Linked DNA regions of Danio rerio. The protein of the gene in region 2 interacts with the protein of the main gene of each other region in a pairwise test. Links are inferred from orthologs where the notes say so. Each region holds a gene or a part of one and is shown on either strand. Other genes may lie near its edges. The genes, in order: elk4 and srfa.

What was found.
Region 1: the proteins of srfa (region 2) and elk4 interact in a two-hybrid assay, tested with the Homo sapiens proteins (2 studies listed by BioGRID and IntAct). The link is inferred for Danio rerio from reciprocal best matches to the Homo sapiens genes SRF and ELK4.

Annotation. Positions count from the first base shown.
Region 1 is NC_133186.1:40,881,050-40,896,954, forward strand, and holds part of elk4 (ETS domain-containing protein Elk-4), read right to left. Parts: 5' UTR 15,836-15,905; coding exon 15,629-15,835; intron 9,267-15,628; coding exon 8,565-9,266; coding exon of another isoform or gene 8,478-8,564; exon of another isoform or gene 8,410-8,477; intron 5,642-8,409; coding exon 5,438-5,641; intron 2,529-5,437; coding exon 2,412-2,528; intron 107-2,411; coding exon 5-106; 3' UTR 1-4. UniProt on the Homo sapiens protein: Involved in both transcriptional activation and repression. Interaction with SIRT7 leads to recruitment and stabilization of SIRT7 at promoters, followed by deacetylation of histone H3 at 'Lys-18' (H3K18Ac) and subsequent transcription repression.
Region 2 is NC_133197.1:37,090,023-37,106,615, forward strand, and holds the start of srfa (serum response factor a), read left to right. Parts: upstream 1-7,102; 5' UTR 7,103-7,425; coding exon 7,426-7,875; intron 7,876-16,593. Other genes in the region: si:ch73-173h19.3 (uncharacterized protein LOC563864 precursor), read left to right, coding at 654-815. UniProt on the Homo sapiens protein: SRF is a transcription factor that binds to the serum response element (SRE), a short sequence of dyad symmetry located 300 bp to the 5' of the site of transcription initiation of some genes (such as FOS).

The DNA.
Region 1 (15,905 bases), on a different chromosome or scaffold from region 2:
CCTCTTATGTCTTCTGTGGGTCGGGGGAGAGAGGGCCTGGTGTGTTGGTGCCGTCTAAATTATAGATGGGAACAGTGAACTGTGTGGAGCTCAGGACAGAAGGAAACTGATATAAAAAAAGGCAGAGAAAAGAAAGAGAGAGAGAAAAAATGTTTTATAAAATATTGCTATTCTATTGTGAACATCTTAATGTCACTGGTGTTTTTGTTAAATGCTTTTAAAAAAGTTTAAATATTTTGGTGATGGTAATTTATGGTTTTGCTCTTTTTTTGTGTTAAAAATAAAGCTAATGAAAAATAAACATCTGAAAAAAAAGTTACAGCAAGACAAACAAAGCTATATAAAAATATACAAAAGGAAAATTGCATAACAAGTAAATAACAAATGCTAAAGCTTAATCTTAAAATAAACAAAAATTAAAAATATAAACTTGTACTAGTATATAAGCAATATTTACTATTCAAGTTTAATATGGAATAAATATAATAAATAAATATTGCAATGCTGTTACATTTACCTTAATAAAGAAAAAAAAAAATCGCAAAGCAAGTACATAAGACAAATACTAAAGCTTAATCTTAATCTAAACAATAATTACAAATATTAATATAAACTTATACTACGATATAAGCAATATTACCTATTTAAGTTTACTACAAGATGTACACTGATTGTATAATGCTTTAAGCCTTCTTTTCCAGAACTGTGGGAATCCTAAATAAGCCAGTCTCTCTGCACTGACTCCACAAAGAGATCATTCAGCTTTGTAATGAACAAAGCTGTTTTCACTAGAGCCACCATATCGGATTGCATATGATTTTTGTCTAGCTACAAAGCTAATCTTTCACCATTTCCCTGTTCTTCTGAAATATAATCTTTTTTGTAGTTTTATTGTAAACAAATATACATGCAAATGGATTTTTGTGAATTTTATTGTTCAAAATGTCATATTAAAGTAATTTTCAAGAACAACCTGTGATAGCATATATGCTGAATGAACTGAATATTAAAATATCTTCACAAAAACCTGGAATTGATATGTATATTTCATGTTTATTTTGTAATGTAATGTTAATAGTGAGCAAGGTATTTTTAGAAAGCAAAAGTGTTTAAAATGTCCCAGCAAACTAAAAGGGGGAGAATTCATTTTGTAAAAGTATAGAATGAAAGATACTGATTGTACTGCATGTTAGTTTGCATATTTTGTCCACTTGTAATATATTAAGAAAAAAAAAAAAAGATGCATCTAACCACTGGTTAAGAGCCGAGATTTTGTAAGGATATGATAATATTTGGCAAAAATTAAAATAATTTTTAAATAATGGAATTTGAGGGTGCAAAAAAAAATCAAAATGTGTGAGAAAATCTCAGAAGTATCAAAAGTTTTAAGCAATGCACAATACTAAGCAGAAATTGAGTTTTTATATGATAAGAAGGTGACAAAATATTCATAATGTGACATAATCTTTACTAAATATTTTAATGATTTTTGTTATAACAGAAAATTTGATTATTTTGACCCATACAATGGCTATTTTGGCTATTGTATGGAAAAACAATGAAATAAAAAAGGTCATTGTGACTTTTTATCTCAGAATTGCAAGTTAATTGATTAAAAAAAAGTCTTAATTGCGAATTTGTATTAAAACTCGCAATTAAGACTTTTTTCATCAGAGTTGTGAGATGTAAACTAGAAAGCAAAGTTATTAAATCAGAATTGCAAGATATTAACTCACAATTCTGAGAAATAAAGTAAGAACTGCTCGTTTGTTCCATGAAAAATAAACTATTACAGTATTAACGTTAACATTTTAACAAATATGTTGTTTTTACTATATTCACATGCAGTGTCTTGCCAGAAAGGGGTAGCTCACCCAAAAAATACATTTACTCACTATTCAGTCACCCTCAAGTGGTTTCAAACCTTAATGAGTTTCTTTCTTCAGTTGAACACTAAAGAAGATACTTAGGAAAATGTTGTAAAACTGTAACCATTGACTTCCATAGTATTTGTTCTTTCCTACTATGGAAGTGAATACTTACAGCTTTCTAACATTTTTCTAAATATCTTCTTTTGTGCTCAACAGAAAAAAGCACCTCATAATAGTTTGAAACAAGTAATGGGAGAGTAAATGAAAGCAGAATTTTTGGGTGAACTATCCCTTTAAATCTGTTTGTAATATTAAAAATAAATTATACATCAAGGGTCTAGTCTAGGTCCACATAAATTTTCAACACCATTAATAAATGTAATTGGAATGTAAATGTAAAAGTTGAACCATATTTAAAACAATAGAATAGTTGAGCTCGAAATAAACTTTGAGTTGGGCTAATTTAGTTCGATGTCACATTAGTTCATGCTTTGATCAGGGAATGTAAATGTAGGTTTTTGACCATCATCTGACTCTCACCTGGAAGAGGTTGTGTGCTCCCTGTCTCCTTGCGGGACTGAGCGGCGCCACAGGACTCAGCGTGCTCCAGAAATGAATGTTCGACAGAAGTGGACTGGGCGTGAGCAGCAGCGGCGTCTGCAACAAATGTGAACTTTTACTCCACTCATCCAGCACGCATTCATTAAAGAACATGCGCGAGCATCACGGCACAAAGCATTTGCAAGAGGCATAACCCCTGAAATATAAATGTTTAATTAAAAGTGGCTTAATGAGACTTTAAGAAGCAGTGAGAATTAATCAGAGGGCAAGGGTGCTGTATTTCATGAAAATCATAAATAATAGATATGAATTATAGTATATTTCATCTTTCATCTCTGTGGGGGGGGGGGGTCCTCTGGGGCCGAGGGTTTGAGTGCTCGTAAATGCAAAGATTGTGCAGTTTTAACGAGGTGATCCATCAAAGCAGCATCCAGCTAAAGCTCACCATATGATCGCCAGCATGTAACCCAATGAGTGTCTCTCTTCAGCATCATTGAGCTTCAGTAGTTTAAGTGGTGCACTACTGCCCTCTAGTGCCTCAAAATAACAACTGTTAATTCAGCTTAAAGGGATAGTTCATCCAAAAATCTACTCACTATTTACTGTCTGGTTATAAACCTTTATAAGTCCCTTTTTGAAGATATTTTGAAGAAAGCTGAAAACCTGTAACCATTGACTTCTATAGTAGGGAAAACAAATACTATGGAAGTCAATGATTACAGGTTTCTATCTTACTACTAAATATCTTCTTTGTGTTTAACTGAGGCGATGCAGTGGCGCAGTAGGTAGTGCTGTCAACCTCACAGCAAGAAGGACGCTGGGTTGCTGGTTCGAGCCGTGGCTCAGTTGGCGTTTCTGTGTGGAGTTTGTATGTTCTCCCTACATTCACGTGGGTTTCCTCCGGGTGCTCTGGTTTCCCCCACAGTCCAAAGACATGTGGTACAGGTGAATTGGGTAGGCTAAATTGTCTGTAGTGTATGAGTGTGTGTGAATGAGTGTGTGTGGAAGTTTCCCAAAGAGGGGTTGTGGCTGGAAGGGCATCCGTTGCGTAAAAACATGCTGGATAAGTTGGCGGTTCATTCTGCTGTGGCGACCTCAGATTAATAAAGGGACTAAGCCGACAAGAAAATGAATAAATGAAAAAATGTTTTTATATATATATATATATATATATATATATATATATATATATATATATATATATATATATATATATAAATAAATATATATATATATATATATATATATATAAATAAATATATATATATATATATATATATATATATATATTAATATATATATATATATATATATATATATTAATATATATATATATATATATATATTTATATATATATATATATATATATATATATTTATATATATATATATATATATATATATATATATATATATATATATATAGCAATGCAGTGGCGCAGTAGGTAGTGCTGTCGCCTCACAGCAAGAAGGTCACTGGTTTGAGCCTCGGCTGGGTCAGTTAGTGTTTCTGTGTGGAGTTTGCATGTTCTCCCTGTGTTCACGTGGGTTTCCTCCGGGAGCTCCGGTTTCCTGCACAATCCAAAGACATGCGAATCTGGCGACCCCAGATTATTAAAGGGACAAAGCCGAAAAGAAAAATGAATGAATGAATAAAATAAATGATCAACAAATAAATGTCTCGACAGCTCTTACAAGTGAAGGAATTATCTACACACAATATGAATTCCCAATTAGAAAATTACTACAAACTATAAAATACTATGTAAGAAAATACTTAAATCACAGACTAATCCAAATGTTTAACACAAGCGAGCTGCGCTCCGGACCAGCTCAGCTCAATGACGTATAATATCTCCAACACCACCTGTAGTCCCATTAAGCAACTTGATAGCAACCGTCTTTTTAAATAAGGTGTGTTTGATTAGGGTTGGAACTAAAATCTGCAGAACTCCGGCCCTCCAGGAATAAGTTTGGTGACCACTTTTGTAGAATAAAACGTGAAAGTATCTCGAGTTTGTGTTCGCCACAAACCTTATGTAAGCGATTTAACAAAAATCCCATTTGAAAAAACCTGTTGACTTTGGGACGAGGGAACCGGAACTGCTAAAATGTTAACTCGCTTCCAGGTTTTTGCATTCAAATTGACGTCATAGTTCCTCTATTTTTAATGGATAATGGTGACTACTTATACAAATATAAATAGTATCCCAATTAGGTTAAGTAAAATAATATTGTTTTCAGTTTAAAATAAGATTATTTTACTTGACTTATTTGCAGATTAATTAGCTTGTTTTTACAGATTTAATAAATCATTTCTTTTTTTAATTATTAAATATTTATTTGTCTAGAAAATGCTTCTTTATTTAACATTTTTTAGATACTTGGACTAGAAACAAGAAAATTCTATAAGAAAAGCTATTTTTTTGCAGTAGTTTATCTTTACTGCCGCTACTCTTGACAGTTTGGCAGCATCTTGTGACTAAAAAATATAAAATTATTACTATCCAGTAATATTAATAATTCAGTAGTAATAGTTCAGTTAATAATTCAGTAGTTATTCAGTAGTAGCCGTTGTTGTTTTTGTCAACGTTAATTAAATCTCAGATTAATCTTCTGTCTATTTGTTTAGTTTTGTGGTTAAAAGTTCTATAAAACGTCGCATTATCTAGGAAGTTATATCTGGAAAATAAAATGTAGAATTGTATTAGGCTATACAAAGATATATCATAATGTAAGCAACACAACTAAAGGAAATAAAATCGACAATGCACTTTTCAGATTTATAGTGTGTCTGTGAATATTCATTGATATTGTTCGCATCGAGTAATAAAATCCCCCTTACGGCCCCCTTGCGCTTGGGTTAGCCCTGCAACAAATACACCAGACAATCCTCCTCTGTGACCCAAAACTAAATCTGCTGATGCTCTGATGACTGTATCAGATGAATGGGAGCAGAAAATAGCCTGTAGTTGCGTGAGTGTGGAGGTCAGGAGGGAACTGACCTGCAGGAAGGCTGGGGTGAGAGACGCCGTCGGGAGGGACGGGCTGGACAGATTGAGAGGGCTCAGGTCAGAGCTGGTAACCACCAGCGTGGGCATTAACTCAAGGCCTTTGGGTTTCTTCGATTTGGAGCTGATATTGCGGGGTGGAGATTCGGGCAGGACACAAGATGATACCGTGGCCTTAGAAACAGAGAACGGCTGAACCTGATAAATTGAGAAAAAGGACAGGTTAAAAGCAAATGTAAAAAAATAAAAGTGCACACTGGTTTAACTCGTTTTTATAAATGATATTTTTGGGTGAACTATCCCTTCATATAAAATTCAATTTGATCTCATCGTTTAAATATAGATCTGCAAAATCTAGTATAAATCTACAGGTTAAAAGCAAATGTAAGAAAATAAAAGTGGACACTGGTTTAACTTGTTTTTTAGAGAGATTATATCCTTCTGCATTTAACCATCATTAAATTCATGGTAACACTTTAGTTTAAGTCACAACTATTCACACCATTTACTACTCGCTTATTACCTGCATATTATTAGGATATCAATTGTTTATTAGCATTTATAAAGTATTATCGTATTTTACATTCCCTAATCCAACTCAATACCAAAACCCAACTACTAAATAACGATTAATAAGCAGCTAATTAGTAGTGTATTGAGCTTAAAGTCTTAGTCAATGGTTTGTTAAAAGTGTGAATTGTACATTAAAGTGTGCCCAATTTCATATTTTGACTGATTTAAGTCTTACTCATGCTACATTCAACAAACATTATATATGCATATGATAAAAACATTTTAATATATTTTTATATTACATTAACATATTACATTTTTATCTTGATCTCTTTATAAATTATTGTTAACCTGAATATGTGTTATGACTAACTGTATTGACTAAATTAACTGGACATGCTTCCTGATAATTGCAATTTAGTTCAACCATTATAAAGTCCAGAACAAATTAACTGAATCCAGAACATTTCATTTGGAATAAAACAGAAATTGCAGAAAAGGAGAATTAAAATTTAAGAAAGCCCTGTATTTGATGTATAGGAAAATGTTTTATTCTACTGTAAATATTATAAGTGGGCACAGATTTTTTTATCTAGATTAATCTCACTGTAATCTTGGCATTAATCTAGATTAATCTAGACCAAAATGGCTCATTTGAATTCTCCCGAAGGCATTTAAAATATGTGTGCGACCCGAATAATGACTACATATAAGTTTTGGAGAACGGGTTTCTCAAGCCAGGTAGCGCATTAGACCAGGGGCTCATCTCCTGTTTCCAAAATGCATCACAAACTGCTTGAGAAACTGTTCTACTGTGATAATTGGTGATGAAAATAAATTATCTTCAATAAGATGTACTTGTTTACTGACTATTTATTTAGTAAAACTTGAATTTTGAACTTTACGTAAGATCGAAACAGTGATTTTTTTGATTACCTTAATTCGACTAAAGTCATAAGTGAAATAAACAGAAATGTAATTAAGACGTGGAATATGCATATATTAGTGGCATCATTGAAGTAAACACCCCAATTAAACTATTACCGTCATGTAGGACTTTTCGCCATATTTTCAGACAAGATCCACAGACGCGGCTGTCAGTAAAGGACCACGCACACACACACACACACACATTGTGAAATGTGAAAGTTATTTTCTTTCCATTTGGTATGTGTTATTAAATACTATAACACCCTCACCAGTCCTTACTCCTTATTTGCATCTAAAACCCCAGTTAGTCAAGGGGGATGACTAAAATGTTTATGAGTAAATGTAAAACTGCCGCACAACAGTTAAAGTCACCCAAAATTACAGGAAAATGTTACATGAAAGCACTTCACGTAAACACCTTAACTATATTATTGTCTATTACGGCAAATAACTAGATTACTGATGTCCATGTAAACGTAGTCAGTAGTGTCTTTGAAGTAAGTGAGAGATCCAGAAGGGCACTTTTTTGTCAGACGGCTCACTGGTCAGGTATACATCTGCGATAAAATATTAAGTTGAAAGTCATCATATCTTGCGTAGAATAGACCCAGCTCCCAACCAAACTTTGAGAATAGATTATACAATATTTTTTTTAAATGCCCGATAAGAGTCTTGCGTTAATATATACACACACACACACGTATATGAATGTGATTTATTTATATATATAAATGAGCAATATCACACTCGTAGCAGTGCGATATGGCTGTATTTCGGCACTGGTGGGAGGCATGCGTTGCCTTAGTGCCCCAACAAGTGCTGATATACAGCCATATCGCACTGCTACGAGTGTGATATTGCGTTTATACAACTGTTTGACGGCAAAATTGTGTATATAAAAACAAAATCAAACATGGAGAGTCTTAAAAGCCCTTTTGTATGAGGAACAACTTTCTTCCATGTTGGATTCAAATCATAAGCTGACAGTTAAACAGCTGAGCATGCATCTTTTAAACTTTAGATCTGTAGTGTCTGCTTTTTGCTGGCTGTATGTGGGCGGAGTAATACACAAAGGGTAAAGAGGCTGTACGGGTGTTGATATTACTTAAATATATCACAACTATCAGCCAATTAGATTCGAGAACCAGACAGAACTGTTGTATATATATATATATATATATATATATATATATATATATATATATTTTTTTTTTTTTTTTTTTTTTTTGCTTATATACGTTTTTTGCTCCCCATGGGGAAAAAGACTCATAACTCACAAAGAATAAGGTATTTTGAAAATCTAAAAAATGCTAATTGTTTCCTATGAAGGTTGAGATTAGGGGTAGGATAGAGAGAATACACAGTCATTACAGTATAAAAAATCATTACATCTATGGGAAGTTGCCCTAAAAATAGCTGTACAAGTGCGTGCGTGAAAGTGTGTGTAAGCGTATGCCAAAACTAGTTTCTAGTTTAATAAATAAATCTAGTTTAATAAATAAATGAATAAAGAAAGAAACAAGTGTGGGCTAAAAAGCCTTTAAAACTACATCCTTTTGTATTACACACACCAGAGTACATACAATATTATTTATGTTTTATTGCACAAATTCCCAAAGCCAATACTGCACAACTCACAGTATAACATGGTCATCATCATCATCAGAAAGTGTCGTACCTGCAGCTGTAACTCTGAAGGCTGTGAGGAAAGAGACTCAATCTCACTGTCAATCACCAGCTGCTGTGAATCTGTCATGGGAGAAGAAGAGGGAGACTGGGAGGAATGATGGAGCACTGATGGAGAGATGCTGGACACAGGGAAGCCTGTCATGGCGTTCTCTGAAGACGTTTTCTCCACAAACGCACACACAGTATTGGAGATGGAGGTCTGTTTGGATTCGGGATCAGCCAGAGGTGATTGAGCGGACTGTTCTGGAAGTTCAGGTCTTCCTATAGCAGACGCAGTGGTGCTTTTTTGTGGCATGGTCCCAAATTTGATAACTGTGGATAACGGCTGGGGTGAATCCTGGGTGCTTTTTTTCTCCATTAGCTTTTCTCCTGGGTTTTCATTCTTGGTGGCTTTAAAAAGTTGCGTTCCCGATTGCAAAGAGGTCAAAGTGAAGGATGTATAAAGGCCAGAGTGGATGTATTCATTCCGGCTGGATGATTTAGACTGAGCCAGTGTTCCGGCTCCCCGCTCTATGATGGATTTGTTGTCTTTATCTCTGGAGATGTTTGTTGGTTGGTCCGAGAGAGGCAGAGGGCCGTTCGAGCCTCCGTCTGCACCCTCGGCCCTGGCCATGACGTCTCCTTTTAGGATGTCAGGGTACGACACGAAACGATAGACAAACTTCTGGCCGTTGACTTTTTTGATGATGTTCTGCATGAAAGGATGGGAAAAAACATTAGCTGATGACTAACATTTTTTGGCATGCACATAAAAATATTATAAAAACTCAAGTCACGCTTTATTTACATTACGCTACATGTGCTGACATACAGCGGAATGAAATGTTGTGTCTCACAGGACCACGGTGCTGCATAAAAATACATAATCATAAATATGAACACAACACTGGACGTAGGAGCTATTACATATAACCTATGCATAGCTAACATTTACCTTTGTAAAAATTGTACCTTATATAGTTCAGAAAATACCTCTTATGAGAATGCTCTGTACCTTTTATGGTACAATTAAAATAAAAGTACACAGCTGTTCTCATTAAAAAGGTACTCCTCCGTTATTACAATATCTATGAATCTAAATATTACTGGAAAGGCAAAGTGATTTTATGAATAATTTCCATCTTAAAACATGAATCATCATTTAAAAGCATACGTTTAAAGAAACTCATAAACATTCACCATTAAGTTCTATAATACAAAACAACTGGTAAAACAAAAATATAGGTAATGTAAACTAAACATTTAAGGCATTTTTAATAAACATTATAAGCATTTTCTGATAAATACATTTTCATTATTGATATCCGCACCTTTTGGCGTTTGCTTTCCACTACGCACATGAGCTTTCAAAAGTTCTGCATATGTAAAGTGTTCATGCAGACATTTTAGTATTGTAAAGCTCAAACACTGGTCATATCTCGTCACAATACTTTTGCATAATTCTATTTCTATTTAAAAATTAAGTAAATTAAGTGATCACAAAGGTGTTGTGTGAAAATTGGAGAAAAACTGTTTAATATTAAAGATGGGAGAATGTATTTCTGTAACATTTTTGTGAAAAGTTTAGCAAAAAATAGATCTTTTGATTTATGTTAAAGTAGTTTTTACTCTTAATTGTAAATGGAAAAGGTGTAGAAACGTTTTTAAAAAAATGTATTTGATGTTTCATAATTACTGAACATAAATTGACCCATTTTGGATAAAGCAAAACGCCCTTAAATAGTTCTTGAAGGAACACATTTGACACTGTTAAGGTACAAAGTGTCTTGTCACTGTAGTGGTACCTTCATGGATCAGATTTGTACCTTTGATGAAAATACAATATTGTATCTGCAGGTTTTAAAATCCTAAGGTACATTTTGGTTTCCCATGGTACAGATCATGTCCTTAAAAGGTACAAACTCAACCCAGGCTCATTATGATAACGTAGTGCCGTGGACGTTTCTGGAGACCGCGAATTATGTAGCCGGAGGTACGTATGGCTGCATTTCATTTTTTCAGCGAACACTACGGGGAGGTATGACGCCAGTCCTTTTTACGCTTACTGGCTGACCGATTACCTCCGCGTGGAGGGCTTTCCTGCCACAACCAGTTTGTCCAGTTAGCTCATTGTGTACATCGACAGACTTGAGATGCAGAGGAGAGCTGACCACAACGACGACGACCGGGTTTGAGTCCAGGGAAGAGCGGTTCCAGAAATCATATCAGACAAAAACAGCATCCAAAAAATAAAGTGAGCAAGTTCAGAACAGGGTAAAAATGTGGTAAAATCTGAAAACGTGGTAAAAATCAGACGAGGGCTTTTCTTTTTCTGGACAGCTTTTGTAATTTGTTGGTTGGGTTTAGGGAAGTATGCGGGTGGGCGGGTCAATCGGTAAAATTGGTTGGGTTCAAGGAAGGAGGTGGGTGGGTCAGCCGATTGGCTGGTAGCCCAGTCAATCAGTCAGTCAGACAGACGGTCAGTCGACAGCGGCCTCTGATGGGTTTACGTGAGAACAGCACAGGCGCGATCGGCACTAGCGAGAGACATTTTGAGATGCAAAAAAGCGCACACAGCAGCGTCTCGTGGATTCACAAAAACAAAAATTGCAAAAATAAGTACCTCCCGGAATTTCGCGGTCTCCAGGAACGTCCATGGAACTACGTTTTCAGAATGGGCCTGCACAAACTGCAATGGTACAATTTTGTTTCTTTGTCTTAAGGTACAATTCTGTTCCATAAATAGGAACTTCTACAGTGACAAGGGTTTGTGCCTCCTTTGGTACAAAATTGTACCATTTTTCTGAGAGTTTACTAAAGTGGTAATCTAACTATACATATACTAAAAATTACTACTTAACTATATACATAACCTAAGACAGACTAAGACAGACAGTACGTTGCAAACTTCACACAAAAACGCCAACTGACTCATCCGGGTCTCAAGCCAGTGACCTTCTTGCTGTGAGGCAACAGTGCTAACCACTGAGCCACCGTGCTGCCATTCCACATGTAATCAAACTGCACCTATGTGTAGGACTAGTTTCTTACGTATCTCATCCAAAGCCGTTCATCCATTTTTTTTGTTTTATAAATACATCTTTTTATATTCACACAAATTATTATAAAAGTATATGTTAATATTGTTTGCACATAATACTATGCAAGGTAAATGTAAACAAAACTCTCTTTCTCTCTAAAAAATGTTGTTAAATAAATAAAAATGTATATAGACCATTTCAATATGGTGATATCATTGGTCCATGAACAGCTCCTGCTCGTCAGAACTGTATAATAAGAGGTGATTCAGTCACAACTAATGTTAACATGGCTGTCATTAAAAAAGTATCAACATGAAGCTTTCAGGATTCTCAGAAGCTTTGTAAATGAAAGATCTAAAACAGGAAATACATTAGGACCATTGTTATTGTTTGCATCCCTCAAAATGATCTATAGTGAAATAAAGTTTGTTTTGTGTACATTTAACAATGCTAAACACAAGAAAATCTTCAGTTTGCTTGCTTTTTTGATGATGAAAATATTTGAGGAAAAATAAAAATCATGTTAATTTTAGCTTAGGATTGACCGTTCGCCTACATGCATCCAAAAATATTGTCAAAACCCAAACAAATCAACCAAAACGTCCCTCACATGTACATTTTACCAGCCAGTCAGTTGCATTCTTGTACCCTCTCCAACAAAATAACATGCAATTAAGTGAAAGAGCCCAGCAAGAATTCAGTAAACGATACCTCGTGCCCTGTGGTGCCAAGATGAAGCTTAAAACGCAAGTGCCAAACCCTCAAACACGCGGTTGGCACTCAAGAATAAACCCCTAGCGAGAGGCCATGACTTCCTCACTGTGCTAACGGGATCTGTGACCCTCTTCTTGCAGTTCAGATGTATTTGATTGTGTGTTTACAGCAACAAAACAACTTACTGATGGAGAAGAGTGTGGGGGGGATGAGAGGCCTGAACGCTAGCAATTATGATAAACACTGATTTAAATATACAGACACAACAGAATTAGCCTGGTAAATCTCTAAAGCCTATGGGGATTAGCACACCCCAAAAAATAAATAAATAAAACATATGTACTTATTTAACAGCTTATAACAAGTGTTTGAGTGCTTAATTTAGTTTATAATTTAAATATTTATTTTGTGTGACATGGTAACTTGCAGGTTTTAAAATAACAGAATACAAGCTGTTTAACCCAGCCTATGTGAACGTACCTTAATTTTACAAAAACAAATAATATATAATAAAAGAAAATGGATAACCTGGATAAAGAATAATGGTAAGGAAAACGGTCATTACAAACTCAATTATTTTGCAATAGAACATTAATACCTAATAACTAATAATAAATGCCTAATAGGGATGTAACGGTATCAGAATTTCATGGTACGGTAATATCTCGTTATGAATGGCACGGTACGGTATTTATTGAATAATTTACAGGAAAACAAAACTAATGAAAAGACCCGAAAAAAGTGCCAAAAGTGTTTATTTACCTTAGCACTGAACATATTAATGACATACAAATTAGCCATCTACCTGTAAGTTTAGAAACCGGAACTTTTTCAATTTTGATAACAAAAAACTATTAAACCATGTAAAAAAAAAAAAAAGTTTCAATTTAGTATTGTGAGAAATAAGACAGAAAAAACTCATCACAATCACAAATTTAATCACTCACTCACTTAGATAGAGATGGGGTTTTTTTTTAAGAAAAATTATCATATAACTATAATCTGGTAAAAGCTGGGATCTCTGGGCATGTCCCCTGCAACAGAAAAAAAAAACATTCTCATTTGGGACTGAGGTTTCTGGGACAGAGAGATATGATTTAGCCAAGGTTGACAGCAGTGGGTAACGTTGTGCATCGTCTTTCCACCACTTGAGAGGACAAGCCATGAGTGAGATAGAGGTCTCTTTGCCGTACAAGTCAATGTCTACATCAATCTAACAAGTGTGCTGTGTTCTGCAGTCCCCATGACTGTTTTTAGTCGTATTCCCCAACTTATATTTCACCACAGTCTGGCAGTGCCTGCATACCGTTTTTCTTTGTCTGTCACCTTTTCTCCTTTTTTTGTATCTTTTTAGAAAGAACCCGAAATGCTTCCACACATTCGATTTAAAACCTGCTTTAGGTTCGATCATTTCCAGCTCTTTTTCTTCCCCACTACTAGCAGCACACTCCATTTCCGCATTATACTGGATCTGTAGTGAGAACAGACCATAAAGGATGATGGCCACGCCTAGGCTGATGGAAATTGTAGTTCCTGCTACCTCCCATTTGCTTCATTCGCCTAAGCAAACTTTTCTCAGAAATAAAGTTTTATTGAGTCATGCGCCTACGGTATTATTGAAAATTTTTTTATTGCGGTATTACAGTACTTACAATATTGTTACATCCCTAATGCCTAATAATTTAAAATCAAACAATATCAACCCCAATTAATTATAAGATAATATCTAATAAATCACAACACTAAATATACATTTTTCTTAACAAATTACAGCCAGAATGAAACATGGACAAATAATAATAACATTATTAATATTACTACTACTACTAATAATAATAAATAATAATAGCAAAAATAATAATAACAATTCTCAATAAATTAGTATTTATTATCAATAGTTTGAATATAACATATGCATATATAATAGTAATATATAATCACTGTAAAAAAATCTTGCTGCCTATATTTTTTAGTTGAATCAACTGAACTTTTCTTGTCATCTCAACTCACATCAGTTAAACAAACTGAAAAAATTAAGTTAAAATTTCTATAACTTTAAATATTTAATTTAAATTTACGTTTAAAATTAGTTTAACAAACATAAAAACATTTGTTGTTATGACTTACATATAAGTTTACAGTATGTATGTAATACTTAAACAATGTAACAAGTTACAATGAAACAAGTAGCGAATAAAAATGAAGATTTTGTAATTAAATTAAGAAAATTAGATAAAATTTAAATAATTAAATATAATATTCATTCATTGTGTTACCATGATTTTAGTTTGTTAGTTACAACATTAACTAATAGTTCGCAAAAATATAAAGTTGTATGTTAACATTAGTTAATACTTTGTGAATAAACATGAACAAAACATTATAAGATTTTTTTATTAACATCCAGAAAGAATAATAAATGCTGTAAATATATATTATTTAATTTTAGTTCATGTTTTCTAATGCATTATTATGTTATTACACAGTTCTCTTATCACAGAGGTTATATAAGATGATCACCAATAACAACAACAAAAATAATAATAACTACATACAACAATAATAATAATAATAATAATAATTTAAATAATAATAATATAATTCATTAGTATTATTAATAATAATAATAATAATAATAATAATAATAATTAAATAATAATAATAATATAATTCATTAATAATAATAATAATAATAATAATAATAATAATAATAATTGTGTGTCTAGGGATATTATGGTTGGATTTAAAATGTTACGTAAACGTTTTTTCATTAAAAAACACACACACACATAGCATTGACCGATAATTAGGGCCAGACAGAATCTGCAAACATTTTTTGCTATTTCTGCAGAGAACTTTATTAAAAATTAGCATATTTTTGGAATGATTACGGAATGATTTGGGGAGTATCTTAACTAAAAACTTGATATATAAAATATAATACCTTTTAACTTTTTTTTAATGCTTACAATGCAAATCCAATTACATCCACTTATTTGGTAAACAAAGCAAGTATCTTTTATTTATAATACATCTACTAAAACGAGATGTTCATAATACATCTCTCTAAAAGTACAGAGAAAAAACTTTACAAACAGTATTGTAAATAAATCATATGAACAATTTCATATTAGTCAATAATATAACAGAAATTAATTCAAAAACTGAATAAATATAAATTTACACACATTTACACAAGTAAACAAGTAGACTCAAAGATCTGTGGATTTCGAAGCATGCAGATTCCAATATGGCCTACCAATAACTAATATGATCCAAATGAGAGTGCGCAAATGATAACAAAGACAACATCACACACCTTGTCATAGTAGTAGCGCAGGGCCCGGCTGAGCTTGTCGTAGTTCATGCTGGGTTTGTTCTTGCGGGCTCCCCATAATCTGGCCACTTCTTCCGCCTGCAGCAGCTTGAACTCTCCATCCTCATTGGTCCAGCAGATGAGCTGCTCATTCCCTGGGTCCAGCAGGAGCTGCAGCAGGAACTGCCAGAGTGTCACAGAGCTGTCCATGTCCTTCTCGATACGATACCTTCAGGATCCTGATCACGCTCACAGGCTGGCTGACATTTCACGGCATATT
Region 2 (16,593 bases):
TAAATTGTTACAACAGTTAAACTTGACAATATAACTGTAAGAATGTTAAAACTGATAAGACACTTACCTCACTTTTTCCATACTGATTTAGTGCCAACCAGCCCTACATTTAAAGTGTTTATGGGTTTAATGATAATAGAGTTGAAGATCAGTAAAAATAGATTAATAATAATAATAAAGGCACCTTCAGCACTGCTCAGCACCATATTATTTGGAGTCAGCATTCTTGTGTTTTTTGCCAAGAAAAAAATTTCTGTAAAAGACAAAATTTTTTAGAGTTCTCAAACTTGACAACATAACGGCAACTATAATAAAAAATAACAGAGACTGTAATAGATACTTACCTATGTTTGAACCCTGCAATAATTTTCCCAAACAGATTTAGCATCAGCTGGAAGGGTATCTGTAGAGTAATTGGGGGTTCATTCACCTGTGGTGACCCCTGATAAATCAAGTCAAGGGATTGTGAGTTAGATTTAGCATCTGCTTTGCTACAATTTAAATTTTGTTGTTGAAAGTTAGAGTTGAAGATTGGTCTGAATGTATAATAGCGCCCTTAGTAGTGTCCAACAAAGGATTATTTGCTGTCAGTATTCTTGTGTTTTTATCAAGGAAAATATAGTTTAGTGATTGGTTTCTCTTTTGTCTTTCAGCGCTCCAGCAATGTAAGTGCCATGTTGGTAATGACCAAACCCTTGACTGGACCTCGAGAACATGTTGTGGATCTGGAGATGGTCACCCAAAGTAATGTCTTGTCCTACCGTTCAAGCTCTCTGCTGAGACTCACCATTGTTGTGGGTCCATACCCTTTCTAAATCCTCTAGATTGATCAAATCAGCACTTTGGATTTATGTATGTACTGCAGCTTACTGTGTTCAAAATGTTCATCAAAGCATGGTCCCCTGTTTGTCCAGATCAGTGGTTCTTACCTGGTTGGTTGCAAAGCGATAAATGGTTCAGAAACTTATTAATAGACTTTTAGAGGTTTTATAAAAATAAATATTTTGTAAGATACGCCATATGTTGACAATTTTTATACTGTGTTGGGTCGCCATTTAATATCCAATGACCTGAACCTTCCTGGGAACTGCTGGTCTAGATAGTCACATTTTTATTACAAACAGGAATCAGTTTACTAATCATCAAAAAAGTGGGTTTTCAGGTTTGTTGACGTTTCTAAGTCATTTATATTTGGTCTGACTGGGTGATGTGAGGCCCTTGAATATCTGAAGAACAACACTACTGGTGACCAGAAAGAAACACAATTACAAAGTTTTACTCTGAATAGCACTTATAGGTTCTTTGTCTTGGTAGTAAGAGTTTTGAAAGATCCTCCTGCATTGGATGCTTGTTTTAAAAGGGTGGTTTATCCAAAAAGTTAGCCTGTCATCATTTAATCACCATATGTTATACAAAGCTCTTATAATTCCTTTTGCATCTAAAACTGAGGTGAAGTGTGTCCGTTTGCATACAGTGAATGTCAGGCAGATCCTATTGAGTTACAAAAACAAAACGCATAAAAAAAACCAGTCTACACTACTCAAATTTTTAGAACAGACAATAAAATCAACATGGGTTCATTCTGAAAACGTAGCTCTATATACGTTTCTATAGAATTATGTAGCCAGAGGAACGTATGGCTGCATTTCGTTTTTAAAACCAACGCTACGGTGCCGTTTCTTTTCTCGCTTACAGCTGACTGCTTACCTTTGTATGGATGCTTGTCCAGTTACCAGTTTGTCCAGTTAGCTTGCCATGTACGTCGGTGGACTTAGGACACAGAGAGGAGTTGACCACGACGACAGGGTTTGAGTCCGGTGAAGAAGCTCTCAAAGCTCTAAAATTTCACTGACATGAAATCTACATATTCAAACTGATACACCACAACTGGTTGAATGCCACATCAAACAGTCAATAATTTAGGTTTGTTAAGTGCAGTTACATTAACATTTTTAAAGGACAGTAGCATATAGATGTATGAACTAACAGATGTCACTTTCAAAGAAATCAGCGAATAATGAGTGCAGAGCTTTTTTAATTTCCGGATTCTGCTTGACAACTGTGCGTTCACATTGAAAATCAATCCATGGGAACACTGAAGCACTCTCTGTAACACAAAACTATCAAATAGCTACAGAAGGCTTACAATAACATACAAAAAGTAGTGGAAAGAGTAATGAAAAATCATACCATTACTTGCCTAAAATGTAGTGCAAGTAGAGTATAAGTATCTGTTTTCAATATTACTCAAAGTATGAGTAAAAATTAGACCTTTCAAAAGTACTCAAGAGTAGAGAATGGTGAAATGCTGATGCATTTACATGTAATTTTTGGATGTGTGTGTAAACGTAACATTCTGTAGTGCATTTAGTTATCGCCCAGCAGGCACATCAACATCATAAGACGTTAATATTAGGTTGTAATGTCAGGTGACCAAAATTCAATGTTTAGCCAGCGTCTAAGGACAACGGTATATGATGCCCAATAACAACTTTAAATGACGCTGAAATTTTGGTTGATTTTAAGTTGTGTTAGAAAGTGACCAAAATCCATTATCGAGCTGACATCTTAAACCAACATATGGATGTCAAATACTGACATTTACTCGTCAGGTATGGAAGCCAAAATACAACATCTGATAGAAGTCAAAGCGGTAACGTCCACACAACGTGAAACTGTAACATCATTAGACGTTACGATTTGGTTGCTTTTAGATTGGACATTGACAACGTCGGCCTGACGTTGGGTTCTGATATCAACCCGAGGTTCATTTCCAAACAAAATGCAAAGTCCCCTTGACGTTGGGGTACCCTTGACTTGTGCCTGCTGGGTGTTTACGTCCATTTTGGTTATCACAGTAATCCTCCGTCATCTTCTCATCAGTGACATGCATCTTAACAAGCTCTAGGTCAATGCATGTGAAGATTTTGGACATCTTTATAGACACTTTTAATGCTTCTTAACAGTTTGCTGCGATTATAAAGCACTCACGTCTTAAGGTAGTTCATTATGATGCGATTTACCTTCTATGTGTGATTTGATTGGACTTACAGGACTGATTTTTCTAAACCCCATAGACAAGAAAAAATAAAGTAGTGACTCAAGTTGAAAGAAAGTGCAGTGATACAGCACTAAAAATGTACTCAAAAGTACACATTTATAAAACTACTTAGTAAATTACAATTTCTGAGAAAAACTACTCAATTACAGGAGTTTAAGTATTCTTAATTAGTCACTTTACACCACTGCATATAAGTGACATGGACCTCTTTTATGGTGCATTTTAAGTAGACGTTGCTTTCTTGCGTCAAACATATGACAGATTTTCGTTTTTGAATAAGCCAAACTTTTAACCTGCCAATAAGTCAACGCTTTTACATTGCTCATACATGGAACATGGAGAAGCAAAATGTACTTTAGTGCTTATAGATTTCTTACATTTTAGCCAGGGAAAAGTGTTTTATTGGTGGAACATGTGGATAAGGCAAACAGAACTGCATAGGGTTAGGTGGAACAGTTTGTGTTGTAATCTAATGGCATCCTTAGCTAATGGAAATCTCTGATGCGTCCTCCGCCTTGCGAATACTCCAGAAATGACCTCCTATCCTATGAGAATAAGGCAATAATGTTTTGGAAACAGAAGTGATGTTTTCAGGAAATTGCTGGCAAGGGTTTTGGGTCGCATAAGCAATGGAACTCTTGCCTAACATGTCTGTATGTTTGCCAGAGCAGCGTTTGATCTTCTGCAGTGTTTCGTGTTGATGGTCTGTGACAAACACTGTTACTTAAACCGTTGCGTCACGCTCGGCGTCCCCAGGGACATGGTGGTGGGTGAAGCCAAAATGGTTCGTGCACCACCATGTTATATGCAATTATTTGGCGAGCGATCTCTGCATCGAGACTTCGTATTGCAACTTAATATGCTTACAAATCAAATCTGTATGTTTTCTAATCAGTGACTTTGATTCAGTGAGTTTGAATGCTCCCTGTTCATTCTCTTATTGAGATCATCTAAATTGATGTGGACTGGTTGTTCCTGCTCACTGAAGACAACCAATGTCTAAAAAATGGATTTGAATCTTACGTTCAGGAATAATCTGTATTGTTTATCAGTATGCTCTCAAGTTGCACTGTTTTTACTTATTCATAGTGCCATTTATTCTGCTGTAAAGTGTTTTGGAAATAAATATAAATTCAAAAACTGTCGTTTTGTTTTGCTTATTACTTTGCTTAACACATCTATATATTTCCAGATGTGCATCAAAACAAATGTAGCACATGTAATGCTCATGTTCTCAAATCTAATCTTCTGCTAGTATTGCATAACGTGCATGGGTCAGTTTGGTATATTCCTGGAACAGTTTAAGAGGACCACCAAGATTCATCTGCAGTTATTACCTCCTGCGGTTGCAGATGGGAATATGTAACTATGTGATGTTGTCATGACAATAGTTGAGCAGTTCCTGTAAGAATATTTACACACTAATAGCCAAGTGGCTTACAGAAAACATGTGAGCATTACATGAACTGAGTTTTTGCTTAGACCTTTTTTATAATTAAAGAAACGTGGAGTAAACATGAACGCATACACAAAATATTTAACATTATGACTGGAAATTGAATGTTGATCTTTTTGAGAACCTGTTGTTAATGGATAAAATGAATATTTTATTAGGACGCCACCTTTCTGATGGTTTTATACGAGTACTGAAAGGTTGTATGTATCAGAACCAAAGACTTTTGAGACACTTCCATATTTGAGTACTATGCCACCTCACATACACTACCCTCGCTCCAACTGTATTTTAAGTGGAACGTTTCAGTATTGACTTGTCCCAAGCTCTAATACTGATTATATCAAAAAATAGTTTTGGTTAAAGGGTTTGCTAATGTAATATCTAAAATTGATCACATATTCATCACAGCAGAAATTACACTGAAATTAGGTAATAAAGGGGACGACACTGTGGCGCAGTGGGTATGTCACCTCACAGCAAGGATGTTGCTGGTTTGAGCCCCAGCTTGGCCAGTTGACATTTCTGTGTGGAGTTTGCATGTTCTCCCAGTGTTTGCGTGGGCTACAGTCCAAAGTTCCCACAGCCCAAGCACATGCGCTATAGGTGAATTGAATAAACTAAATTGGTCGTAGTGTATGTATGTGCAGGGGAGAGTGTATGAGTGTTTACAAGTGCTGGGTTGCGGCTGAAAGCGCATCCACTGTGTAATAATATATGCTGGGTAAGTAGGCTGTGGCGACCTCTGATTAATAAAGGGGCTAAGCCGAAAAGTAAATGAATGGATGAAAATGACAAAGAGGTGACTTGTCCAATTTAACACAGTACTCAATTTCAGGTTTGGTTTTACTATGAGTGATTGTGACTGGGTTCGAACCAAAGACATTTGAGAAACATCGCTTTTTCAGTTTAGTATTGGATTAAAATCATTTTATTAACTCATCCCAATTCAAAATATTTAAAACATAGCTATTATAAGGGCAGCGTTGTTAGTTGTTCTCTGTTTAACGCTTTAAATGCCCCACCATGAAAAAATTGGAATTTCATTTAAGTCCTAATGTCGCTAGTTAACATACTCAATGCATTTTTTTTCAACACATCCCATAATTTCTAAAATATCCACCTCAACCAAATTGTTTATATGTCGATTTATGGTTAAAATACCAAAATTATTACATATACTATAAAAAATCTGAAAATATGAAGTGTAAAGCCAATCTATATTTAAAAAAAATGTATGTATATATATATATATATATATATATATATATATATATATATATATATATATATATATATATATATATATATATATAAACTAAATCATCTTTATTTTTTGAAGTATACCATAAAGTATTTCAGATTCTCATTTAACATGTTTTGTTGTTGTTTTACTATAAAACCAAAATCAAGTGTAGTAGTGCAACAGGATTATTTGTTTGATTTTTTTGTAAACCTACAATGCTGTGTGTGTAAACCATCATTTAAAACAGTCAAACTGTAAATTAGTTTAACAGTCATTATTTAAAACAGTTAAATTATGGTCAACTATTTGGTAAAGCAGGCAGTTAAAGAGTTAAGGAGTTTATTATTTGTATATCTATCATGGAAGAAATTACACGCAAGTAATTATTTTTATTTGTAAGTTGATCAGTGGAAAGAAATGCCAAAATAGTTTGTTGTGAGGTTGGATAGCTTACAAAGGTGTTTGAGAAACATATTTGAGCACTATGTTACCTCAAATACATATTACTTGAGTATAACTTGTTTAAATGTACTTTTTAAACTTCTAAAACGGCGATTCTTTAGCAACAACATTGAGCCTTTTCTACATTTAAAAGGTTTGCTAATACGTTTATTTTATTTATTACATTATTTTTATTTGTAAGTGTGATATGGATGAAAAAGCCAAACGACTTAATGTTATATCTCCCAATATATAACGTAACAGCTTCATCTGCTGGTAAAACGGAGTAGCGCATCATTTGCACAGCTCCCACAGAGCTGAATTTGACGAGTTTGCCCTAAATTTAAATTAAGCGGTCACGCTGTCAACTTATATTAGGTTTTAAAACTCAATCAAGTACATTTGATTTACCTTTTCTCATATTTCTCCTCAAAAACGCGGCGTTTTGTCGTTATATATTACTATTCAGTTCTGAGGTAAAACACATTTGCTAGCTAGTTCGTTGTGTATGACGTAAATCATTTGTGTCAGCCAAATGACACATGAGCCAATCGCAGGGTCGGAGAGGTTTGCGTAACCAATCGCAGCGCAGCACTGTGACTCACCATACATGGACAGCCATCACCATATAAGGAAACATCGACTCGCTTTATATGGAGGAAAGTAGATCTATAGACGAACGTCTCGTGAGTTAAATTCTCAAAATAAGCAATATTTTACTAATTATTTTCCCCAGAAAACGTTAAACTTAATATTTGACCAAAATAGTGCTTTTTATGAGCTAATAACGTATTATCTAAAACAATACCGACCTTTAAGCAGAGAACTATTTTTAAAGGCGGAGCTGCATTGCGCGGTCGCGATTCGTCGTTTCCAAATGTGGCAAGCGCAGCGTAAGTTCAGTCGAGGTTTGATTGATGGACTGTAGGCGGAAACTATATGTTGTAAACTTTGTACGGTGGTCGTAAAGGGCTAGTTTTGCAGGTTTATTTCTGTCGTTTACGAGACCCTCAAATCCTGACTTTCATACTGAAACAAATCCATCCGTAACCAGAAATAGCGCTTGCCTGCTTTAAGTTGTCCGCTGAGTTGAGCTAATGTTTCTTAGCCTAGCATATGTGAGGTAAGTTCGGTTTTGGGTCTGGATTTGATCTGGGATCTGCTGCACAGATCGCTAACTTTACACCCACCGCAGACCGCCGTAGTGCCGCTTGCAGGTCAGCGATGTTAGGGGGCAACGGGACGGCCAGAGGGGCTGGACGCTCTGGTAATGGCACGGGATTGACACCTCTACAGGTGGGCAGCACATCTGGGGCTCTGGGGGCTGTAAACTCTGTCATAAACCTGCCCGATGGGGGCAGATACGACGACGGGCCGTCGGTCGAGGCTGTGCTGAGCGGCTCCGATGGAGACTCAGACTCCGGGGACGATGAAGAGAGCCCTGTGCCGGACAGGAGAGGGGTGAAGCGGGAGAGGAGCGAGCTGGAGGTCGGGGGATCTTCTGGATCTAACGCCGCACTCTCGGCAGGATACGGAGGGGTCTCCAGCGGGGTGGCCGGAGCGAAGCCCGGCAAGAAAACGCGAGGACGGGTGAAAATTAAGATGGAGTTTATTGACAACAAGCTGAGGAGATACACGACCTTCAGCAAGAGAAAGACTGGCATCATGAAGAAGGTATGTTCATGTGTCTTCTGCTGTTAGTCTGGAACTGATTGTACCACTGCTGTTCTACTGCTGTACTGATGCTAGTTTTACACCAGTGCTAAACATCTATGCTAATATTAGCACTACAACTACTAGTAGTGCCATGCCAATACGTTCTTCAGTAACTGGTACTCTAGTAAACTTTAGTATTTACCTCATTGTGCTTTGTTTAATTCTGTATAAATAATAGTACCACTAACATTACTATATTCAGGATTCCCACTGGTCATGGAATTGTAAAAGCTCTATCCCACATCCTGTAAGTCAGGGAATTGTATACATTTTTTGGTAACACTTTAGGTTATTACATATTTATAATTATGACATTGGTTGTTTTTTAGTAGTTATAAAGTATCGTTTTATTCAACATCCTTAAACCTACCAATACCTAAACCATAGCTCTCAAACTCAATTCCTGGAGGGCCACAGCTCTCAGTTTTGCTTCAACCGTAATCAAACACAACTTATTCAACTAATCAAGGTATTACTACTAGTAGAGACTATTAAGTAGGTGAGCTAGAGATGGTTGGAGCTAAACTGTGCAGAGCTGGGGCCCTCCAGGAATTGGGTTTGAGACCTCTGACCTAAAGCCAACTTCTTACTAACAGTTAATTAGCAGCAAATTAGTACCTTAGTGAGAAAAAAGTCTTAGTTAATGGTTTGTTTATAACAATAATTGTACCTTAAAATAAAGTGTAACCATTTTTATTGGCCCAAGTCATTGAATAACAGGGATTGTTGTTGTATTTCTTATTTCTTTACATTTATAATTTGTTTTTCAAAGTCAAATTATATTCTTCTCCCGCTTGTCAGCTGGCATAAGTCCTAGGGTGCTATCACACCTGCCTTATTTAGTTCGGTTGAATCGCACTAGAGTTCGTTTTCCCTCTTGGTGCGGTTCGTTTGGGCAGGTGTGAATCTAACAATCGTACTCGAGTGCGCACCAAAAGCGGACTAAAAAAGCATAGCAAGACCCCTTAGAGGAGGTGATCTCGGTACGCTTACAAACATGGCAAATTAATTCTTAGTATTATAAATATTTATTATTGTCTGCCACATAATAAAAAGTTTGAACAATAACACACTTACAGGTAAAAAAAAGATAAATAAAACATCAACGTTTTAATTAAAATGTAATTTTAAAAGTTTTTACTTGAATAATTCAGCGATTCCTCCGCGTACCACTAGAAGGAAGTCCGCGTACCACTTGAAGGAAGCCAGTGCATTGATAATGACCAAAAACACATTGAATGAGCAATTTTACCCAATAAATGCATCAATAATATCCACTGATTTTTAGATATTCAATTAAGTGAACTTAAACGATTAGAATGGCAACAAATATTTAGTTGAACCCAAACTACAAAAAAAAAACATTTAAAATAATTTTAAACTAGTTTTAAACTAGTGGGGTTTTGAAATCAATTAATGCAAATAATCGAAATAACTGTAAAGCCGTGATTATTTCTAAGACTATAAGCGTACAACCAAAATTTATAATCGTTGCATCCCTATTTTCAACTGGTTCAGATTAAAGCAATCAATTTGGTGTGAAAACGGCCCAAAAACGGCAGAAAATGCTACAATGTGTCATTTGTTGCCCTTGGTCCGGACCAAATGACCGAACTACAGATGTAAAACCACCCTTATGCACATAAGTCAAAATGCAATCCCCAGGCTTTACCTGTTAAATACTGTCTATATTTTGTGTCTGCCCAGTGCTCAACCCAACAGAAGGTATAATAAACCTTAAAGACGTCACAGAAATCAAGCATTTTGCTATTTAGTCAGTAAAATTTACATATTTTGACATTTGGTTTAGACTGGGAGCCCTGTATATGATACTAAATCTATAGAAATAGTTCCACTTGATTGATCCTAGAGCTACAGTAGAGATGCTAGCTTAGATAGTTTAAATTAATACATATTCTAACACTTCACAAAAACTCTACCACTAAATGTAAAAATACTTCATTTAAAACATTAATAATATTAGTGTCAATGGTTTGAACTCATGAAACTGATTCTATTATTGTAAAATAACAGTGTAAATTACAACATTGATGTTAATTCTATTGAAGTAGTAGTATCACTAGATTATATTGTAAAATTTCAGATACTAACTCTTTTTAAGTACCAGTATTTGCTTAAAATCATACTGCTGAGAAATACCTTTCTTAAATCTCAAAATCAAAGTTGTAGGCTTTAAAAAGTCTCAAATTTACTGAAATATTGTGTTGTAGGTCTTAAATCTTTTTTTAAACAGGTCTTAATTTTCATTTGTTCATGTATTGCTATCCAATCTGGCCAAAACCCATAAAATCACCAACAATCCATCTCAACTTTAAACTTTTTTTTTATTATTATTTAAAAGTTAATTTTTAACTCTGTTTATCATAATGGTTTAATTATTTTCCTTGTAATAACATTTGTTTAGAAGTGGTCCATGTATTTACTGTTGAGGACACTGACCTGGACAGGTTGTTGTGCATAGATTAGGTTTGTTATAGTTTTTAAAACTTTTAAAACATTTGTTCATTTTTTTTATTTTAAAGAAAGTTTATGTTGGAAAAAAAACTTGTATGGATACAAGTAGAGCTTGCTTAATTTTACACAATATTTAAAATATTTTACTTATAAATATCTAAAATATTTGAATTCTTTATTATTTGTTTATTATTGTACTATTGAATGCATCAAATTATTATAATTTCTTTTGATAGGGCAAATAAAAATCTTTTCCATCTGAGCCATTTGTAAATTTCCTTAGCCTTTAGCTCTTTATGAGTCTAAAATTTCATTCATACTGGTCCTGAAATATCTTAATGTCTTAAATTTAACTTGGTGAAACCTGCAGAAACCCTGATATTAGTAAATCAGTTCTAATACTCAAAGTACTCAACTAATGTTTAATATTTATGTTGATTTTAACACGGTGGTAATATTAGTATCTCTTTTCCTAATGCTATGTCACTACTAGTTATTTATAATGGTGTTTTACCAATGCTTGTACCTTTTACACTGTTTGAGGTATAGGTTCTGAATCATGCTTGTTTACTTATGTTATATACGCTGACTGTACCATGCTACTTACATGACATTTGTGTTTAAATGTGTTTTACTGCTCCTGCTAAACCATGATACGCAAGCACTGTTGTTGGTGTTATAATTACCACCCACTCATGTTCTGTAATACTGCAAGCAATTTTATAATTTGCATTATTAGTGGTATATGCTGAGATAATTCAATATACTGAAGATAGTAGTTTTATTATTAATGCTGCCATACTACTTTTGTAGTTCTACCACCAGTAATTTACAAATCAACATTGTATGGCCACAACCATATCATCTTGCAACCCAAGACTGCTTACTCACTGAAGCTAAGCAGGGCTGAGCCTGATCAGTATCTAGATGGGAGACCACAAGGGAAAACTAGGTTGCTGTTGAAGTGGTGAGGCCAGCAGGGGGCGCTTAGTCACTTTTGTGTGAGTCCTAATGCCCCAGTATAGTAATGGCAACGCTATGCTGTCAGTATGCGCCATTTTTCGGATGAGATGTTAAACCGAGGTTTTGACTTTGTGGTTATTAAAATCCCATGGCACTTCTCGTAAAGAGTAGGGGTGGCCAAATTCCCTCCATCAGCCCTGATCCTGCATAGCCTCCCAATCATCCCCATTCACCAATTTGGCTCTATCGTATATATACCAATTGCTAGTGTGAGGTGAGCGCACTGGCGCCGTTGTCCTGTGTAGGGCTGCACGATTAATCGAAAAAAGATCACGATCTCGATTCGACCCTACACACGATCTTAATTCAGCTTTTCTACGATTCAGTCAATTATATTTTCAAGGTCAGGAGAGAAGCTTAAAGGCGGCCGCACAGGTCCTTACAGGAACATGAACACCTTCAAATGGCGTTAAAAGTGTCACATACTGTATTTATAAGGTATAATTCACCCAGAAATGTCATTTCTGTCTCATGTAAGGATTTATTTGCGACAAAATCACATGTGAGCTGACCACGAGTCACTGAGAGAGCGTGCACGTAGCACGCCAATGACGGCTACTTTAGTGAACAGAACCTGCATATGCTGTGAATAACAAGTTATAAAGTTGTAAATAACGTTCAGTTTGTTGCACAGTGATCGTTTGAGAGCCGCGTTGAAAGAATGATTTGCATGTGTGTGTGTTTTATCACAGTGATGGCAGCCATGAGCCGCACTGGAAAGTGAAAGTGAAACCTGTGCGCACATCATTTAAATGATCATAACGCATTTTACAGTTATAATTACGACAAGCATTTGATGTGTTTTTTTTTCTTTCATAGCTAACAGTGTTGTGCATGAAAATAAATGTTTTACAGTGTCAGTATAGCTACTCTAGCTTATATTATGTTGAATATAATGCAAAAATGTCTGTGAAATGTCTGATTTTACCAGTGAAGACAAATGGTCTAATGATGCTGACAATGACAGATGACAAGCACGTCTTAAACATAATAATTCAACTTTATAATTATGAATAGTTGTATTCTGATGTGGGCGAGGCAGTGGCGCAGTATGTAGTGCTGTCGCCTCACAGCAAGAAGGTCGCTGGTTCGAACCTTGGCTCAGTTGGCCTTTCTGTGTGGAGTTTGCATGTTCTCCCTGCCTTCGTGTGGGTTTCCTCCAGGTGCTCCGGTTTCCCCCACAGTCCAAAGACATGCGGTACAGATGAATTGGGTAGGCTAAATTGTCCATAATGTATGAGTGTGTGTGTGAATGTGTGTGTGTGAATGTTTCCCAGAGATGGGTTGAGCCTGGAAGAGCATCCGCTGCAAAAAAAAAAAAACTTGCTGGATAAGTTGGCGGTTCATTCCGCTGTGGCGACCCCGGATTAATAAAGGGACTAAGCCGACAAGAAAATGAATAATGAATGTATTCTGATCTCATCATTTTACTGTGAATTATCAACCAGGACATAAGCCGCACTGGAAAGTGAAAGTGAAACCTGTGCATACATCATTTAAATGATCATAACACATTTTACAGTTATAAATACGACAAGCATTTGATGTGTTTTTTTTTTCTTTCATAGCTAACAGTGTTGTGCATGAAAATAAATGTTTTACAGTGTCAGTACAGCTACTCTAGCTTATATAATGTTGAATGTAATGCAAAACTGTCTGTTACCAGTAAAAAAAAATGGTCTGATGACGCTGACAATGACAAATGACAAACACATGTCTTAAACATAATAATTCAACTTTATAATTATGAATAGTTGTATTCTGATGTCATCATTTTACTGTGAATTATCAACCAGGACATAATGAAAGTCTGTTCAAGTCCACCATAATGACTACAAAATTGAGAATTTTAAGCAACAGTAGAGCTACACACAGGCCTAATATTATTAGTGTTGTTTTACCATATCATCGCTTTAGAATTATAAGGTTCTATCTGACATTTTTGTCAAAATTTAGTTATTGACATATTAAATGACAACTTATTGTTTACATTTTAAGACTTTAAAAAAAATGTTCCACACATACTGTTTGTGTTATGGATTGCAAAAACTTTGAAGCTCAATATGTCAAAATCATTCAGAACGCAGAGAGAACCTTATGATTTCAAGGTAATAAGGGGGGGTTTCCTCTTTTCCTCTTTTTTTCTGCTTTTAAATTGGTTATAAATGCGTGCATATAATACTTTCACTTTCAGTTTTGCGGGAATTGCCAACATGTGCTGCATAAGGGCGCTATATTACACAGAATACACTGGCAAGATTAAGTGGGACCAGTTTTATTTGTTTTGTTATTAACGTGTTGTTCTATTTAAAATGCCTTTTATTTGTAAAATCTCTCAAGTTAATATTGGCCATCTGGTAACATAATCTCCCTTAGAGATATTGGAGTTCAATAACGTGGTGCATAGTATGACTATTGACCAACAGCTCACTGTAAGTTTACACACTGCATAGACTACAGCTCTGAAATCCTACATCAGTTTGGCCAACCCCAAACACCTTTAGCTCTTTAGATAGATTTTTTTTTCTTCTGCTTGACTTGTTTTAACTTCAGTCAATAATACTGATTGGTACAGCCCAAGACATGACAAAAATTTATCGTTTTCATCAGCAATAAATTGCAAAAATGCAAGTTTTGTACATTTGGCATCGTTTCCATATTGCCACCAAATAGGCAGATTAATGATAATTCGAACACTAGTGCTTATTGTAGTTGTATAGTACTTTATTCTGCTTTTTTACCTCTAATAATTATTACTAATGACTGTTAGTAACTTCAGTATCTATTATTGCATCATACTAATACAGTTCAGTTCTTGTTATTGTCTAATTGTTTCATTAACAGTACTATAAGGGGCAATATCATCCTGCTAATATTGGATCATTACCCTATTAATGTACTTATTGTGCAATGCAAGCTGTATTACTGTCACTGAAGTTCTTACTATACCAATGCTAATGCTAAACACTATGCTTTCACCATTATTGTACTCTAATAAATACCACTGAATTAATACTAGCACTAGTAGTTTTACTGTAACAATAGCAAAACCAGGTAACATGCTTGCATCTTTCACTTCTGCCGGATTTTATGCTACTTTACTACTGCTTATACCACACAGCAGTTAGTGTAACACACAGAGCCGCTCATTAGCATGTACTCAAACCGCCTGCTCATTTCGACTCAGTCAGAACCACATCTACGTTCTCTGAGGTTTGACCGATTTGACGGTTTCCTAGTTAAAGGTAGTTTCCACATCTGCTCTGACTCATTTGTCATTGCTCGCTCAATTGTCATTCATTCCTGTCTCTGCAGAAATAGCCCTGATCAGGTTACCGCTGCCCTAGACATTGACAGTACATTTGCATATCTTGAGATCCAACCCAGTTGCAGACGTCGAGCAGAAACCTAACCTTCAGATGCATGCGATTGGGTTATTTAGCCCCTGTGTATTTTCATGAATGCATTTTTGTTTTAAAACGGCATTTTGGAATGAAAATACTCCTCGTAGACCTGCCACAATATTTGTTTTTTGTTGTAAAATATATTTCACCAAAGTATATCGCGATAAATGATATTATTGTCATTTTTAGACCATTTTATGCCACTCGTTATATAATGACAATATATATATATATATATATATATATATATATATATATATATATATATATCCTAAATGTCGTTTTAAAACAAAAATGCACTAATGAAAATTCCCAGGGTAAATTTTATATATGTATATATACATATGTGTGCATGTGTGTGCGTGTATGTATATATATATATATATATATATATATATATATATATATATATATATATATATATATATATATATATATATATATATATATATATACATGCATGCATACATACATACATACATACATACATACACATATATATACACACATACGTATGTATGTATGTGTGTGTGTATATATATATATATATATATATATATATATATATTTATATATATATATATATTTATATATATATTTATATATGCATAACACACGTATAGTCTTCCAAAGAACACATAACATGCTATTCTTATGAATATTTCATTTAATTAGTCATTTCAACAGTTTAATAATGAGGCATTGGAGTCGGAATGTGAAAATGCATATCCTAAACAAATTAATTATCATAATTTTAGCACAAAAGTGCAAGGTAAAGATTATCAGAGGCTGTGATATCTGCTACCAGATCAATTTTCAGCTGTCAGACACCCACATGAAAATATACTATAGCAGTGTTTCCTCTAGGATTTTTTTCCAGCTGTGGCGGCAGGTCTTTTACACAAATCTACCAACTACCTATGCCGTTATTTTAATGACAAATGGAGAAATGTGGTGAGTGCGGTATTACAAGTCGCGAACACATTTACGTAATACGATCATGCAAATCTCTGCTTGCACGCTGATTTTCTCTGCTTGTCAAAACTCCTTGCACGCCCTCAAACATGCTGCTCAAGCGCAGATCTTCTTGTGCGCTCTTAAATATACGCTGCTGAAGCTCCAACATTTATTAAATTTGCTAGGAATATTTCTGACTGTCTCCATTAGACCTACAGAGCGGCATTAATGTGTCCTGAAGTAAAGTGAAGTGACACGGCAGTAAACTCCAGCAAGATAAGGTTAAAGTCTTTGTATCCAGAATCACAGACCTTTATCTATAAATACAGTATAATTATGGAAACTGTGTTCATCATAACTGAAAGCTGCATCGTGTTTGCTGGCCTCACGCATCATGCATCTGTCAGTTAGTCAATCAGTCTGTCAGCACGTCACCTTAAAGTGTTAAACAGATAACGCACAGCCCTACTACGGTAACAGGAAGTTTGCACTGTTATAATTCACTTACCTTTTAATACGTTTTGGTGCGATCATAACCTGCTATTAAAAACAACAACAACAACAATGAATGCATGTTTTGAATGAATAAGAAGCTGTAATGTAGCCGTGGTGGGATGAATTTTGGTGGTGCGCGGCTCGCCATGGAAGAATGAATGTAGCGGAAACCATGCAATAGTAATTTATAGGGCTGCACGATTAATCATATTATTATCACCATAATGATATTTGTGGCCCACGATTAATAATATCGTCACGACTTTACAGTGTAAAGAGCAAGCCGTTATTTTAATGGCCGGAGTTTACGGATTGTACCGCT